Linked DNA regions of Arabidopsis thaliana. The protein of the gene in region 3 interacts with the protein of the main gene of each other region in a biochemical or structural test. Each region holds a gene or a part of one and is shown on either strand. Other genes may lie near its edges.

Evidence for each region. Proteins that work in one complex are often made in the same cells at the same time.
Region 1: the proteins of ABI3 (region 3) and AIP3 form a complex in vitro, tested with the Arabidopsis thaliana proteins (one study listed by BioGRID).
Region 2: the proteins of ABI3 (region 3) and PIL5 form a complex in vitro, tested with the Arabidopsis thaliana proteins (one study listed by BioGRID).

Annotation. Positions count from the first base shown.
Region 1 is NC_003070.9:2,809,242-2,813,259, forward strand, and holds AIP3 (ABI3-interacting protein 3), read right to left. Parts: upstream 2,073-4,018; 5' UTR 1,886-2,072; coding exon 1,874-1,885; intron 1,786-1,873; coding exon 1,669-1,785; intron 945-1,668; coding exon 684-944; 3' UTR 537-683; downstream 1-536. Other genes in the region: PRA1.E (prenylated RAB acceptor 1.E), read left to right, coding at 1-321; AT1G08790 (1-phosphatidylinositol-4,5-bisphosphate phosphodiesterase epsilon-1, putative (DUF1685)), read left to right, coding at 2,748-3,237, 3,323-3,405.
Region 2 is NC_003071.7:8,703,488-8,708,913, reverse strand, and holds PIL5 (phytochrome interacting factor 3-like 5), read left to right. Parts: upstream 1-1,909; 5' UTR 1,910-2,129; exon of another isoform or gene 2,130-2,365; 5' UTR 2,366-2,375; coding exon 2,376-2,473; intron 2,474-2,561; coding exon 2,562-3,267; intron 3,268-3,399; coding exon 3,400-3,477; intron 3,478-3,566; coding exon 3,567-3,632; intron 3,633-3,714; coding exon 3,715-3,780; coding exon of another isoform or gene 3,781-3,795; intron 3,796-3,886; coding exon 3,887-4,225; intron 4,226-4,305; coding exon 4,306-4,389; 3' UTR 4,390-4,474; intron 4,475-4,554; coding exon of another isoform or gene 4,555-4,638; 3' UTR 4,639-4,890; downstream 4,891-5,426. UniProt on the Arabidopsis thaliana protein: Transcription activator. Negatively regulates chlorophyll biosynthesis and seed germination in the dark, and lightinduced degradation of PIF1 relieves this negative regulation to promote photomorphogenesis.
Region 3 is NC_003074.8:8,995,730-9,001,795, reverse strand, and holds ABI3 (AP2/B3-like transcriptional factor family protein), read right to left. Parts: upstream 4,427-6,066; 5' UTR 3,886-4,426; coding exon 2,206-3,885; intron 2,006-2,205; coding exon 1,913-2,005; intron 1,768-1,912; coding exon 1,667-1,767; intron 1,534-1,666; coding exon 1,487-1,533; intron 1,370-1,486; coding exon 1,293-1,369; intron 1,181-1,292; coding exon 1,016-1,180; 3' UTR 611-1,015; downstream 1-610. UniProt on the Arabidopsis thaliana protein: Participates in abscisic acid-regulated gene expression during seed development. Regulates the transcription of SGR1 and SGR2 that are involved in leaf and embryo degreening.

The DNA.
Region 1 (4,018 bases), on a different chromosome or scaffold from region 3:
GCTTTCATCGTCGTCTTCATCGGATGGATTCTTCTCTATTTCTCTCGAGACGCAAACGATTCGATTGTGATTTCGGGGAAAGAAGTAGATGACAAGATCGTGCTGGTTTTACTCAGCTTGGTAACGGTTTTGGCATTGGTATATACAGATGTGGGCGAAAACGTTCTGGTTTCGCTGATCATTGGTTTGCTCATCGTCGGAGCTCACGGCGCTTTTCGTAATACCGATGATTTGTTTCTTGATGAAGAAAGTGCTCGCCGTGGTGGCCTGGTGTCTGCCGGTTCTGGTAACCGGCCACCGTCGAGTTATACCCCAATTTGAGTAAACCGGTTTGGAGAATTACTCGTAATTTCTTGGGTTTTTGATTGAAGAAGCTAAGGGAATCAATTTAGGGCTTTGTATTTTGGATTTCCCAAAGATTCTTGTATTTATATTTTGGCGTGTGTGTTTCATTTTGTTTGAATGTATACAAATTCTGGGAAAAAACAAATTGGTGTTATGGTATTTTATAGAATTGCCAAAAACATAATTTCCGATAGAAAAAGAAAAGTATGCATTAACCAGATGAAATTTCATAATGAACAAAACCAGTATGTTAAATTCAAGAATCCTTTGGTCTACACTCACAGTAGAATCATAAACTGATGCAATAGAAGAAAAACAAAGTTGGGAATAACTACTAACTAGTCTTCTTCAAGATTGATAGAATCTTTGAACTTAGCATACAATACCTTCTTCAGCGCTGCCATTTGTGTTACAATTGATTCCTTCTCTTGCTCGAGTTTCTCAAGGCTTTTGCAGGTCGCTTCTTTCATCTCTTCTATCTTTGTTTCTACGTCGTCCCTCGGCACATGAGCAAACACTTCTCCTATTTGAAAACGCACCATCTCCTCATCAGCAAGGATCAACTCGTTCCCTGCATCCTCTAGATTTTCACACTTTTCCTGCATAAATCAATTGTTTTTTAATCAAGCTAGATGCAGAAACACACAGTAGAATGCTGTTTTAATCCCCCTAATGAAACGATTGAACAAGACAAGTATCCACTTATTATTGCAAAGTCCCACATCTCCCTTTTTGTTTCCTACACATGCTGAACTATCAACACCATTACAATATCTAATTACAGTGATCTGATATACCCTAGCAGGCTTATATTCACCAACGAAGGAGAAAGTTAAGGGAGCAGTGATATGTAAGAGTGCACGGATGGTATAAGCAGGTTACAGTAGATTGGTACAACCTAAAGAGAATGTAAAATGAGATATGAGAGTATAGAGATTCTCTTGTGGGGTTATCTGAATGAAGTAAAATTACAATTTACAACAATCAATAAAATCAGGAATTATCTCAAATAATCTTAATCATGATCCTACACTAGACCAACAACACTTATCATATACTCTCAGGATCATTGTAATTAGCTTTTGTATCGGGTTGTAGCAGTGCTGATTTCATTTCATCAACAAGGAGTTAATCAGTTAGCTGAGAGCAAACCGATGTGTAGTAGATTCATTATTTGGTGAATTCATTACGGGATTGGATCTAATCACAGTATTCCACCACCTAAACGATGCAACATAGCGAATTGAATCCATGAATAAAACCTAATCTTAAAACCCTAGAATCGTGTAGAAGAAAAAATCAAGGATACATAAAAGAGAGAACCTTGGCGGATTTGATATCGTCATCGAGGTCATGGACTCTGTTGTTGAGACGGCTGAAGATATTAATGTTCTGCTGGTCCTCCCATGTCACCTCCATCTCAGATCCACTCTTACTCCCCTGCAACATCATCATCAACCATCCATTAGCATCAATTGAAGAAGATGCTAACAAAATAAATTACTCCTATTCGAGATGATTTTCTTACTTGCTGCTGCATTTTCGTCGCACTCTGGGGATTCAGGCCAAATTTCAATAGAACGTTGCTGTGTGAGAGAGAGTTGTGAGTTTCTTTCCCGACCGATTTTTATTAGAGGCTAGGCCCAACCGAGTTATTCTGGTACTTCCCGGTATAATGGTTTTGATACCAAATTATGATTGATTTTTGGTCTTTTCGGTCGAGTTTGTCCCACTTGGCTTGGAATTGGTTATTTTGCTTATTTCGTTATTGATTCGTAAATTTTGTAACATACTAACATGTTTAATTAACTAAATGATACTTGTACTAGTTTAGTGGTTATACCATCTTGTTAGTTGCAAGTGTTAGTAATATGTTTCGACCAACAACAACACCAAAAATTTCTAGAACAAAACCTATATCAAGTAAGAGTTAGTTATTCCAACAAAAACCACCAAGGTTTGTTTTTGGATTCTGTCTCCATAATCAATCAAGCTCCAGAATCTCCCCAGGGAATTAACAGAGAGATCCCTTTAAAAATGGCAAATGGAAATTCTACAAACCCTACTTTTAAACAACACCAAATGTGTGGTAGAAGAAACTCATTGTTTCTGTGTTTTGTAATATCACACCATTAAAGTTCACCAGAAAACATATCTCCTTCTGTACATTAATAAAATAAACCAAACAGAAAAAACTTCTTACCCCTTTTCTTCTTCCGGGATGAACATTTTTTAAAGGGAATCAGAGTTCTGGGATTTTCACTAATCTATTCAAGTTCTTCTGTTTTTCCTCGCTTACATGAGCTAACTTGTACAACAAGGCACATCATCACAAAAATATTCTGCCCCTTGTTGATAATCATAAACGTGCCTGCGATTTCTTATATTAACAACAGAGAAAGATGGTGAGGGTTGGAGAAGCATTGAGTGTATCAACCTCATCGTCGTCATCTTTCTACGACAGCGAAGTAGAAGAGCTTCAAAAGATGCCATTGGAACCACCGAAAGCTAAGGCTAAGAAACGTCTCTCGAAGCAACTCTCCATGTTAGAGACCCGTAGAGACATCGCATGGGAGCGTCGCCGTCGCCAGATGCTCCATCACCTTGAGAAGCATAACGAAGGAGGAGATGACTTGACGGACGAGGACTTGAGTGAGCTCAAAGGATCTATTGAGTTAGGGTTCGGGTTTAACGAGGAGCAAGGGCAACATCTTACAACTACATTGCCTGCATTGGACCTTTACTTCGCTGTGACTCGTCAGATCTCGCCGGTTTCTACACCAGGCAGTGGTGGATCTTCTTCATCCTCCCGTCCTACTTCCCTCGGAGACCGATCTTCCTCTTTTGGTAGTCCAATAAGCGACTCTGATTCTTTGAAGGTTATGTCTCCAGGTAACATAGCAACCTAAACTTTTTCGTCAGATTGATATTTTCATAATATGATTGTGTTTTGATGTTATATTCTATAAATTTGCAGGAGATGATCCTCAACAGGTTAAAACGAGACTGAGGCATTGGGCACAAGCTGTGGCATGTTCTGTGATACAATCTTCCAATTAAGCATAGAAGTGAGAGATGTACAAGAGTGGGACATGAATGATACTACACAAATTTGGTTGAGACAAAGGAAGTGTTGTAGAAATTAAGGAAGCTTAAGACAGATTAATTAAGGAGTTGGTTAAGACAGAGGAGGACGGATTATTGAAGTTCAAACTAAAAGAAGAAATAAGAATGATGCATGGTGGTCTTACATGTTATTATTCTTGAACCCTTTTTTTTTTCGCCAAAGACAGTTTTTAATTTTTTAGATATCACTACTTTAACAGTAAGAAAATATTTTAGATATTAGGTTTTGGCTTCTCTTCCTCTTTTAATTGTCTTTTGTAAGTTTGTATTATGCGTATCAACCTTCTTGTTATTTTCCAAATTCGAGGTCCTAACACCAACAAAGAAATATGAGTTTAACAAAGGACATTACGTATAAGTAGTTTATAACGAAGAAATGTACAACAAGTTTAACAAAGTTGCATGACTTTTGACATGCTAAACAAAAGTATCAACCAACCTAATAAAAAAAATCAAATGAGAACTTCAGAACAAAACCTACATTCACTCTTCACTCAAAACTAGAAGAAAAATGCAAAATAAACACAAAGAATATGAAAACCCATAA
Region 2 (5,426 bases), on a different chromosome or scaffold from region 3:
GAGATAATATTTTTTTCTATTTTGCGTTTTGTTTAATTTAAAGTAACTTTGATGGTAAATCAAAATATATTTTAGATAGGTACAAATCATTTTAGCGGACAAAAAAAATGTACAACAGCAAGAGGGTGATTTAGCAACAAAATTTAGCTTGAAAAAATTGATGTTTATAGATTATGTCTAAATCTGAATAAAAGAATAAATAATTAAGTTTGATAGATCATGCAAGAGGGTGGTTTAGCAACAAAAATAAACATATTACCCTGTCTCATAAATCATTGAGATTATCAATAAAAAAAACACCCAATTTCTGTCTTAATATTGTCCCCACCAATGTGAGTCCATATCTGATTCTCTGTTTCTTTCTTCCCTACTTGGAATTATATAAAAATATGTATATACATATTAATGTGTATATATATATATATATGTGCGTGTTCCCATATCAATGATAAATGCTCTTTATCAAAAGGTAAAATGATTATAAAAAAAAATAAGTTGTTTCATTTTATTTGTTGTTTTCAATGCAAAATTTATTATTATTTTATTATTTTTGATTCTTGAAATTCTGCAACTTTTTATTGGTTAAATTATTTTAAAATATGTAATTAAACATATTTTTAAAATTTAAGAAAACAGAAACTAAATGATCTTAATCAATGTACCAAAATCTTAAACTAGAACAAAATAGAAACAAAAGAAGTATTATAGAAGAAATTAACACTTTGTTCACTAACTTGACTACTATAAATGATTATAAATTAACACTTTATGTAGCATTCGACTTTTCTGTTTATAGAAGAGGAGACTCACTTAAGTCTTTAATATCATGTTTGCATATGTTGTAGTCTTTTGTTTTTAACATCTTTGGATTGACATGGTCTATTCTATAGCCAATATCTATTATGCAAGATAACACGATTTAGTGGAGTCAAACTCTGGTGGAAAAAGCGGAATCAAATGGATTTAACCACAAGACTAAAGGAATATTTCCTGCAAGATATATGTAGTCTTAAATCTATAATTTAGCGATATAAAAAAGGACAATTTTTAAATATGATACTTAAGTTTTTGTTTATTTCTTTAAAAATACCACTTAATGTTTGGTTTCTTAAAATAACATAAAACTTAAATTTAACTTCCAACATTCAAAATTAAACTCTAAACTTTAAACACTAAACCCTAACCCCTAAAAACAATATCTTAAAATTAAAATGGTCAATTCAAACTTAATTTTTTTAATTCTGATGAACTCTTGAAAATCAAAATTGAAGTATAATATTTTTGGAAAACAAAACTTTTGGTGGTATTTTGACAACACAACTTGAAAGTGTGATATTTTGCTACAATACTCCTCTAGAATTCGAGGCTCCCTTAAAACAAAATATTATTTTCGTGTCAGTCATATTTTTTTGAGACATTTCTCAAAATACCACATTTTCAAGTCTTATTGCTAAAATACCATTTCATCCGGTATTCGATCTTCTATCAAAAGAAAATTATATTCATGTAGGATGTCTAGGTTTGGTCCAGACAAGTTAAATGGTAATCTGGTAACATGCGATTCAGTTATGTTTAAGTGTTAATCAGTTAATATTCTAAACTCGGAATAAATGTGTGATGATCCTTGAATATAAATTTATTTTGTAATACTTAAATATATTTTTACCAAAATTAACCGGATCATTGGATAAAGTTTATAAAATAATTTTTTTTTGATGATAATGCCATGAAAACAATTTATAGTACGGATGAGAAACAATGAGGCTGATTATTTTATCTCCGTCAGCTACAAATGATCTCAGACATTTTGTTTTTATGTTCAACTTGGTTTTTTATTCAGAGGTTAAAAAATGGGCACAAGTTTCTATTCAGACACATACACACATAAATAAAATAGAGAATTCACTGTTAAAGTTAGTTGACACAATAGTAAATGCGATACATGCTAGAGTCACGGAAGAGGCAAAAACAAACTCCAAAGAGAGACATATAAGAAAAAGACAAAAACCCTTAAGAAGCTTATCACATTCTTAAAGCACGAAAATTCAGAATAAGATTCAGTCATCCTTTAGCACAAAAAAAAAAAAAAAAAGATCCAGTCATCCAATACTAGTTCCCCAGAAATAAAGGTGATATATTTTTTTTTTTGAGAAGCCTATCCAGTACCAACCTCAATTCTCTAGGTTAGATATAGTCTGGGTAGTATATATGTTTCTTCACTGATTAGTAATCTCTGTGTGTAGTACACTTACTCACTAGTGCTACTCTTTTGGATCTTTCTGGGGTTTTTCTTTTGGTTATAAAACCAGAAGAAGAAGATAACTGTTTGTTATTTTAATACTTACCATTATCATCATCTTTGTAGAGAGAGAGATATGCATCATTTTGTCCCTGACTTCGATACCGATGATGATTATGTCAACAACCATAATTCTTCTTTGAATCATCTTCCTAGAAAATCCATTACTACTATGTAAGTTCTTTTATTCAAACTTATATTAAAAAAAAAAAAAAGTTTGATTAGTTCAAGATCTGAGTATTTATAGTATTGAAAACTTTAGGGGTGAAGATGATGATCTTATGGAGCTTTTATGGCAGAACGGTCAAGTTGTTGTTCAAAACCAGAGACTTCACACCAAGAAACCTTCTTCTTCTCCACCGAAGCTTCTTCCTTCTATGGATCCTCAGCAGCAACCTTCTTCAGATCAGAATCTTTTTATTCAAGAAGATGAAATGACTTCTTGGCTTCATTATCCTCTCCGTGACGATGATTTCTGCTCAGATCTTCTCTTCTCCGCCGCACCTACTGCGACGGCTACCGCGACGGTGAGTCAAGTCACCGCCGCGAGACCGCCAGTATCTTCGACGAATGAGTCGAGGCCGCCGGTGAGGAACTTCATGAATTTCTCGAGGCTGAGAGGGGATTTTAATAACGGTAGAGGTGGTGAATCTGGACCGTTGCTTTCGAAGGCGGTTGTGAGAGAATCTACGCAGGTAAGTCCTAGCGCAACACCGTCGGCGGCGGCGAGTGAATCCGGTTTAACACGGCGGACGGATGGTACTGACAGTTCCGCCGTAGCTGGAGGCGGCGCGTATAATCGGAAGGGAAAAGCAGTGGCTATGACGGCGCCGGCGATCGAGATAACCGGTACATCGTCATCTGTAGTGTCAAAGAGCGAAATCGAACCGGAGAAGACGAACGTCGATGATAGGAAACGAAAAGAGAGAGAAGCCACCACTACTGATGAAACTGAATCCCGTAGCGAGGTGAGTCAAAAAAACACAGAACAGAGTCGTTGTTAGCTATCGTGCGCAAGTCAAATACGGCGCATTTTAGTCTGACTTTGTAGTTTTCAGCGCATTTTTAATTAACTTTTTTGGTGTTTTCTTGTGGTGCAGGAAACAAAACAAGCACGTGTATCAACAACATCTACCAAGAGATCTCGTGCTGCTGAAGTTCATAATCTCTCTGAAAGAGTACGTTTGTGTTTTTTCTTATGTTTTTGTAATCTTTTTCGATAAAGATTTCGCAATGAATCTGAAGAATGTCGCGGATTTGGTAACAGAAACGGAGAGATAGGATCAATGAGAGAATGAAAGCTTTGCAAGAACTTATACCTCGCTGCAACAAGGTCTTCGACGATCTTTTTTCTTTCTCTTCAAGTTATTGTATACGTTAACCTTGTTACTGATTGTTGTTTCTTTGATCCTCAGTCAGATAAAGCTTCGATGCTAGATGAAGCTATTGAGTACATGAAATCTCTTCAGCTTCAAATACAGGTTCATTTTCTTTAAAGGATTCTAAGTCTTGAAAGCCCTTTTTAAGTTCTTGAAAATGTACACTTTACCATGAAAACTCCAGTTTATATGACTGAGATTAATGCAGATGATGTCAATGGGATGTGGAATGATGCCAATGATGTATCCGGGCATGCAACAGTACATGCCTCATATGGCGATGGGTATGGGTATGAACCAGCCTATTCCTCCTCCTTCCTTCATGCCATTCCCCAACATGTTAGCCGCTCAAAGACCTTTGCCTACACAAACTCACATGGCCGGGTCAGGACCGCAATACCCTGTTCATGCTTCTGACCCGTCAAGAGTCTTTGTACCGAACCAGCAGTATGATCCAACCTCGGGCCAGCCTCAGTATCCAGCTGGTTACACGGATCCATATCAGCAGTTCCGCGGTCTCCACCCGACCCAACCACCTCAGTTTCAGGTACTAAACAGTCATCTCTTTCCCAAAAATGACTAGTTCCTCTGCTTACAAGTCACAAGTTCTTATCTTTCTTATTTTAGAATCAAGCAACATCGTACCCAAGTTCGAGCAGGGTGAGTAGTAGTAAGGAATCTGAGGATCACGGAAACCACACAACAGGTTAATAATGTCCATGGAGCAACAAGAAGATCTGTTTTCACAAGCAAACACAATTTCTTATCCGACCCGACCCAACCACCTCAGTTTCAGGTACTAAACAGTCATCTTTTTCCCAAAAATGGCTAGTTCCTCTGCTTACAAGTCACAAGTTCTTATCTTTCTTATTTTAGAATCAAGCAACATCGTATCCAAGTTCGAGCAGGGTGAGTAGTAGTAAGGAATCTGAGGATCACGGAAACCACACAACAGGTTAATAATGTCCATGGAGCAACAAGAAGATCTGTTTTCACAAGCAAACACAATTTTGAGAAATTGACAGAGAGACCTAACATGTATATATATCGCCATCTGTTTCTTGTTTTTCTTTGGTTTGTTTTGTCCTCTCTTCTCAGGTTGTATACTTAGAGAGCTGTACATGTAATGATCCAGAGATCTAGGAATCAATACATAGAGGTTGCAGAGGCTTAGTGCAAAGAATAAATATGAGAAAGTTAGGTTCATATACATACCCGATCATTATTCTTTTCTCGTCTATTATTATTACTTTTGACGAAAGCAATTCTTGATTAAGCTTAACAGTGAATATTTACAAATGTTCCACTCCCAAGTCCCAAAGACTTATCGATACAAATGCACAAACAAATCTTAGTCCTTGCAACTAAGCTCACAATGTGACACAAAATATGTAAATAGACGGACAAAAGCCAGCAAACAAAAGCAAGAAAATTAATGATGTAATTGGCCAAGCATTGCCCATTTTGTAGTGTCTTTCATAGGATCTCTTCATCTAAAAACGTAGTGATGTCAACTAATATGGTATCTCCAGTCCATGACCATAATATCGAAAATATAAAGCTAAAAGAAAAGGCAAACAAATTTCTCAAACCGTTAAGACTTGCTATCTCCATGACCATAAGACTTGACAAACATGCATATATATGTATCAAACCGTTAAATCAATTTTGTATTTGCTTAATAAAGAAGATGTAAAAAGAAGTTTAACATTTATAGTATTTGAAAACTTATATATTAGTATTACTAT
Region 3 (6,066 bases):
GCCTGAATGGAGAAAGGTGTGGTGTGGATATTTGGCACGGGTCAGATCATTGTTTTTTTGAATATCTCAATTCCTTAGGTGCGGTCCAGTTTTTGGGTTTAACCAAAAATAAGAAAGAATAATGATGTATCACAAACAACACACTTATATGAGGAAAATTATAATCCTACCTCACTTGTTTTTTTCCTCCAAAGATTTTCGTTACTCAATAATACAAAGGGTTCAAGCTAACTAGATAAACAAGAAAATGATAGAATCAAAGTGGTAAGGAACAACTCTTCTTAAAATGTCCATATGTAAACATTCTATTTACAAATATTTACAATGTGAATATGTGAATGATATGGATAATTTTGTACATATGTCCATATGTACATTAATTATCATTTTGTACATTAATTATCATTAATTATCATTTTTACTATCATTAAATTGTCCATATGTCCATATTTACAAATAATTTTGTACATTGATAATGATAATTAATGTACAAAATTAATTATCTCAATTCCTTCTTAAATTGTCCATATGTCCATATTTACAAATAATTTTGTACATTAATTATCATTTTTATTATCATTATCAATGTTTGTGTAAAAATATTGTATCATTCAACTCTTCTTAAAACATTCACATTATAAACGATATGTAAGCTCGACTCAAGAAATGAGCCACATATGTAATATTAACCAATTACAACAACAAAAGAACTATATAATCATCTCTCCAGAAATATAACACAAACACCATTTCCAGAATTAATCATCTCTACAATATCCTGAAGGTAAAAAGAGTAAAGAGTTATAAAAGAACCGACTCGACAAGAAAAAGCAAAAAATGGAGTAAAAACCCGGACCCCGACCAAACAGCTTTAATCATGACCCTCCATTTGTCTTCAAGATCCCATGCATGCACGAGAAGTGGCACACTCGGGTACGCTGCCATTTTTTCCTTTTGCCCTCTTTCTTATTTGGTACATAATAATATTTATATTGTTTCTTTTTGTCTCTGTTTTTCATTTAACAGTTTGAGAAGTTGGTGAAGCGACCACCACATTCGCCGACGGAGAGTTATTGTTTATGTTCCTTTGCGACTTGTTTTGTCTCTTCGTAGCTGCTGACGACGGTGGGGCCTCCGGCTTTTGTCCGCTCGGTTGTCTTACTTTAACCCCTCGTATCAACTGTCATAATATTATTCTCAATTAATTATGACAAGATAAATACCAACAAAAGTAATGATGAGAGTTAAATACTAATGAAAAGTATAGAAAAATATTGTGATGCTTCTCTTACATATTTGCCACATTTGACGTCGGAGTATATGACTATGAAATCACCTTCTTGGAGCCCATTGGTTTTCACAAAATCGCCTGTAAACGTAATTTCAAGGAAAATTAGATATGTATGCGTCCACAACAATAATTACAAGAGAACAAACAAACCAAAAGAAAGGAAAATTATTAACGGGTACATTTTCAAAAACGTACCGGTGTTCTCGAGGAGATACATCCTGCTTTTGTTGTTAGGCCAAAACCTGCAAAACCAATTTAAGAAGACAATTAAATAACCGAAAAAACATTTTGGTCGAGTTCCAATTTTTGACAAAATACACGAATTGTTTTTATAAAAAGAATCAATGTTAACATGTTAGCATCATAATCAGTTACCTGTAGCGCATGTTCCAAACACGAGAGGTTCCGATGTCTTCCATGGCCAGAGAGATGCCGTCTCTTGCCTCTAGCTCCGGCAAGTGTGTCTCAGCTTCTTTCTAAAAAAAATAAAAATTCAGTAAAATATAACTTAACCAATAAGAGTAAAAATAAAATAAAAACTTGACAATATTTTTACACAAACATTGAACCTTTTTTAGAAAATGGAAAGCAAAGGCTACAAGAAATTAGAAGAAAAATTACTTTTGGCAAAACGATCCTTCCGAGGTTACCCACGTCGCTTTGCTTCAAGACTTTCTGCAAGAGAAACCGCAAATTCTTTTCTGGTTTCCATCCCTAAAATCAAACCAAAAAGATCAAAATCATTTCATTTCCATTGCAAATGTATAATCTTCCGATTCACATTTTATCAAAAAAAACACATGTAAAATCTTTAGCTTCTTCATCAAACCAAACGAGTGGTGCAATTACACAAACTATTCGAGTATTGCTAAATTAAAGAATAAACAATGAGAAAGATGATTGTGCATGTCTACCTGCCGGCGATCTGGTACCACCTGCTGACGTGGCATAGCAGAAGCTGAGCCAGCTCGGTCCATGGTAGGTAACTGAGTCTCCATCACTGGCGGTAATTGAGGCGGCACTGCCGGGACATTAGGCCAATACATCCAGGTCCCTCCCGTGGCGGTTGTGGCCACGGGGTTAAGTTGTGGAGCCACCGCGGCACAGGTTTCTCCGATTTGGGTTTGGTTCTGCTGATTATTGTTGTTGTTGTTGTTGTTGTTGTTATGTCTGTGGTGATGAGACAAGAACCTCCTCTGTCTCGCCATCCGTTTCTTTCTTGCCTCTTTAGTTGCTGAGGAACACAAACGGAGTAATCTCTGATCTCTCATTTGTCCTGCAGGAACATAAGGATATTGGTACGGATTCATGTTGTATCCATTGAAACCTGTTGGATCTCCAAATTGATTATACTGCGAGGTTGGCGGCATGGGGAATTGTTGATGTGGCATGGGACCAGACTGTGGTGGTGGTGGCCATGACGGTGGAGATTCAAGTAAAGGAAGGAACTCTGGCTGTGGCGGATAGTTTGGAGCAGGCATGTATCCAAAACCCGGGTCCGAGACAAAAGCTTGTTGTTGTGGTGGTGGAGGAACCCATGTTGAAGGTGAGAAACAGGTTTGGTCGGACGGTGGGATTAGGTTGTTGTTATTAGGGTTAGGGTTTTGAAATGGATCTTGTTGGAATGATTGTTGATAAGAGAGGTTGGTGGTGGTGGTGGTGGTGCGTCTTCTTTGTAAGTGATTAGTTTGGACCCATTCAAGAATCAGCTTTAAAAGCTGCTTCATCGCTTCTTTACCACCGCCTAGTCTTCTTGCCGCTGATTCAATCGTAGCTTTCTTTATCTTTACTTTCCTCAAATCCTCAGCCGACACAGTCTCCTTGTTGTTCTTTAGCCACTCCAAAAACACAGCAGCGAGATCATCGTCCTGTTCCAAGGAAGAATTCATCATTTGCATGTCTCCACCACTGTTATTCTCCATCATCGGAACAACGACCTGGTCTTCTTGTCTCTCAAGGGTTTGGTCCATCAAGTTAGGGTTTTGCGTGTCGTCGTCTTGGCTAAATATAGCTGAGGTGTCAAAGAACTCGTTGCTATCAAGTAGATCCATGTACCCGAAAGTCTCCATCATATCAATGCAATCACCACCGCCTTCGCCGCAACCAAAACCTTGACTGCTGTCTAATGGAATCTCCATGGAAGCTGTGGATTGCAATGCACCAGAAGAGTCGTCACAGTTTCCTGATGCGTATTGGTTTTGGTTTGGAGTCGGATCTTCTCCATCTGATCTCAATATAGCCCAAGAAGCAGCTGAGGAAGTGGAGGAAGAAGCTGCCGAAGAAGAAGAGGCTGAGGAGACGATTGCGTTGACAGGAGCTGGAGATGTTGAAGACGATGATGAAGACGACATGCATGGGAAATCAGGAAGCGTTGGGAGATCTCCATAGAAGATTGAAGGGTCATGATGAACAATCAAATCATCATCTTGATGACCATGAACATGATTATTATCTCCTCCATGGTCATCTAACCAGATCTCTCTACCAACTTCATCAATTCCATCCATCAAAACAGTATCATCAGCGTCTCCACCGAGTATTCCACAATCCTCAGCCAGATCTCCGGCGTTGGCCGCCACATGCAAGCTTTTCATCGTTGAAGTGGAAATGAAACAATAAACTAGATTGGTGGAGAGAGAAAAGTTAGGGTTTTTAGTATTTTGTACGGACAGATAGGGTTTGTATGTGAGTAAGGAGGCAAGGAAAAAGAAAGTTAACCCAACTTGGCTATCATCGAATCTTTAAACAACATAAACTATCTGGCTATACATATACATATAAACCTTCTATACTACTATATAATCTTTTGAGATTCAAAAAGAACTCTTGATAAGGTTAAAATTATACAAAAGAGACGAAGGAGGATCCAAAGCATATGAAAAGATCCGACCTAAGCTAACTATTTTCTCCAACTTCAGATGAACAAAGACCAATTGTAAAGAGGTCTAAAATTTTCGAGTCTAGATCTGAAGTATACGAGATGTGTTTTGTTCACAAAGATTGGTCTTTGGTTCTAATAGAACAGAGAGAGATGTTTAGGTTTTACTCTTTTAGAGAGGAAGAACTGATGAACAGCTAATAAGTAATCTAAAACCGTTTGGGTTTACTCCAACAAGAAGACTCTCTCTTTCTTTCATTTTATAAATTATGGAGAGATGGTATATATATATTTATAAAACTATATAATAAACATGGTTAAATCCCTCAAAAAAGAAAATAAATTAAAATAAGAGAGCCCATGTGTTCCAGTTTGTTCCATGATTTATATGGAAGTTTTTTTTTTACTAATATAATTCAATTGTATTGTATAAAATATGTTAGATTAAACTGAACTCTTTTTTTTTTCTGGCGGTAAGTGTAATTTTGGGTTTAAGTTATTCTCTTTCTCTTTGCAGCATTCAATTACCTCAGCAGAAGGAAAAGGAGAGAGACAAGAGTTTTTAAGAAAAAGAGATGTAACAGTTTTTCAGCATTTGATTTTTCAAAGAAGACAAAAAGCAAACGTTTAAATTTGTGGCACTATTGACAAAATTGTTGAGCTCATAATACTTACAAACATTTAAAATTTTATTTAGATAGTAAATCTCCCCTCATCTTCTAAGAAATAAAAACAAAGTTCCTCGAGAGAAAGACATTGGTTTTGAAATTAAATGGTGCAAAAAGCCATATTTAAGTCGATAAAAAAACTTAAAAACAAAGAGAAAATAGAAGTCTCCTCGTGCCGCTAGTATCTAAAGGTTGGTACAGGAGTTTGTGCCCACGAGCCATACGTTCGAATTTGAGTGGTGAGACCAAGCGGTGGTTCTTAAACACTTCTTTTGTATAAAATATTATAAATTTTCCAATTATCAACTTTCTACTTCCTATGTGCAAATGGTCACTTTTACAAAAGTAAGTTTCCTCGGTCGGTTTTAAATTATCTGGCCAAAAAGATTCGAAAAACTTACACTTTCCTATTGAAGTGGAAGAGGCAGACACGGATTTTATTACCCTAGAACAATTACTTTAACATATTGTAGAACAATGTATGTTTTTGTGAGTTTTTTTTCTTCTTCTTTCTTTTCTTTTTTCTGCATGAGGAAAACAAAACAAAACTTTTAGTGTATTTGTAAAATATTTAGTTACAAACAGGGTTCGACCTTGCCTTCAAAATGAGATTGAGCAGATCATGTGATACCTGTTGTAGAAAGAAATAGGTACTTGTATTTATTACATTTTAACACATCAAAATTTTAGTGTATTTTTTTTTCTTGGGAAAATTCCTATTTTCCCGATTACATTTTAACACATCAAAATAGGTACTGTGTTTTATAAATCTGAACAAACAATTAGTAATGTTCATACTTTAACATTTAAAAAATTCAAATTATCTACCTCAACTCTTACTTTTGTACATAATTATGAGTCAACGTTAGTTATGGTAATTAACAGTAACGGTTGTTGAATCAGCTAACACTTGTACGTCGAGATGGCATGTTCTTCAAACCAAATGACGTTGTTTTACGTTTTGAGATTCAAAAGTTTTAAAGGTTACCATTACCATCATGCACGAACATCATCAATATATAAATAATAATTTATAGATATATACACATACATAAATTGGAATTAAAATTAATCATATAACGTCGGTTAGGATTTCCCCAATTCTAAATGACATTGTTTGATTAATTTAATTCCAATTTGTTGCTATATATCTATAAATTATTATTTATGTCTCGATAATGTTTGTGGATACGATGGTGATGAATATGTGAGGTTGGGGGTTCCAGTTT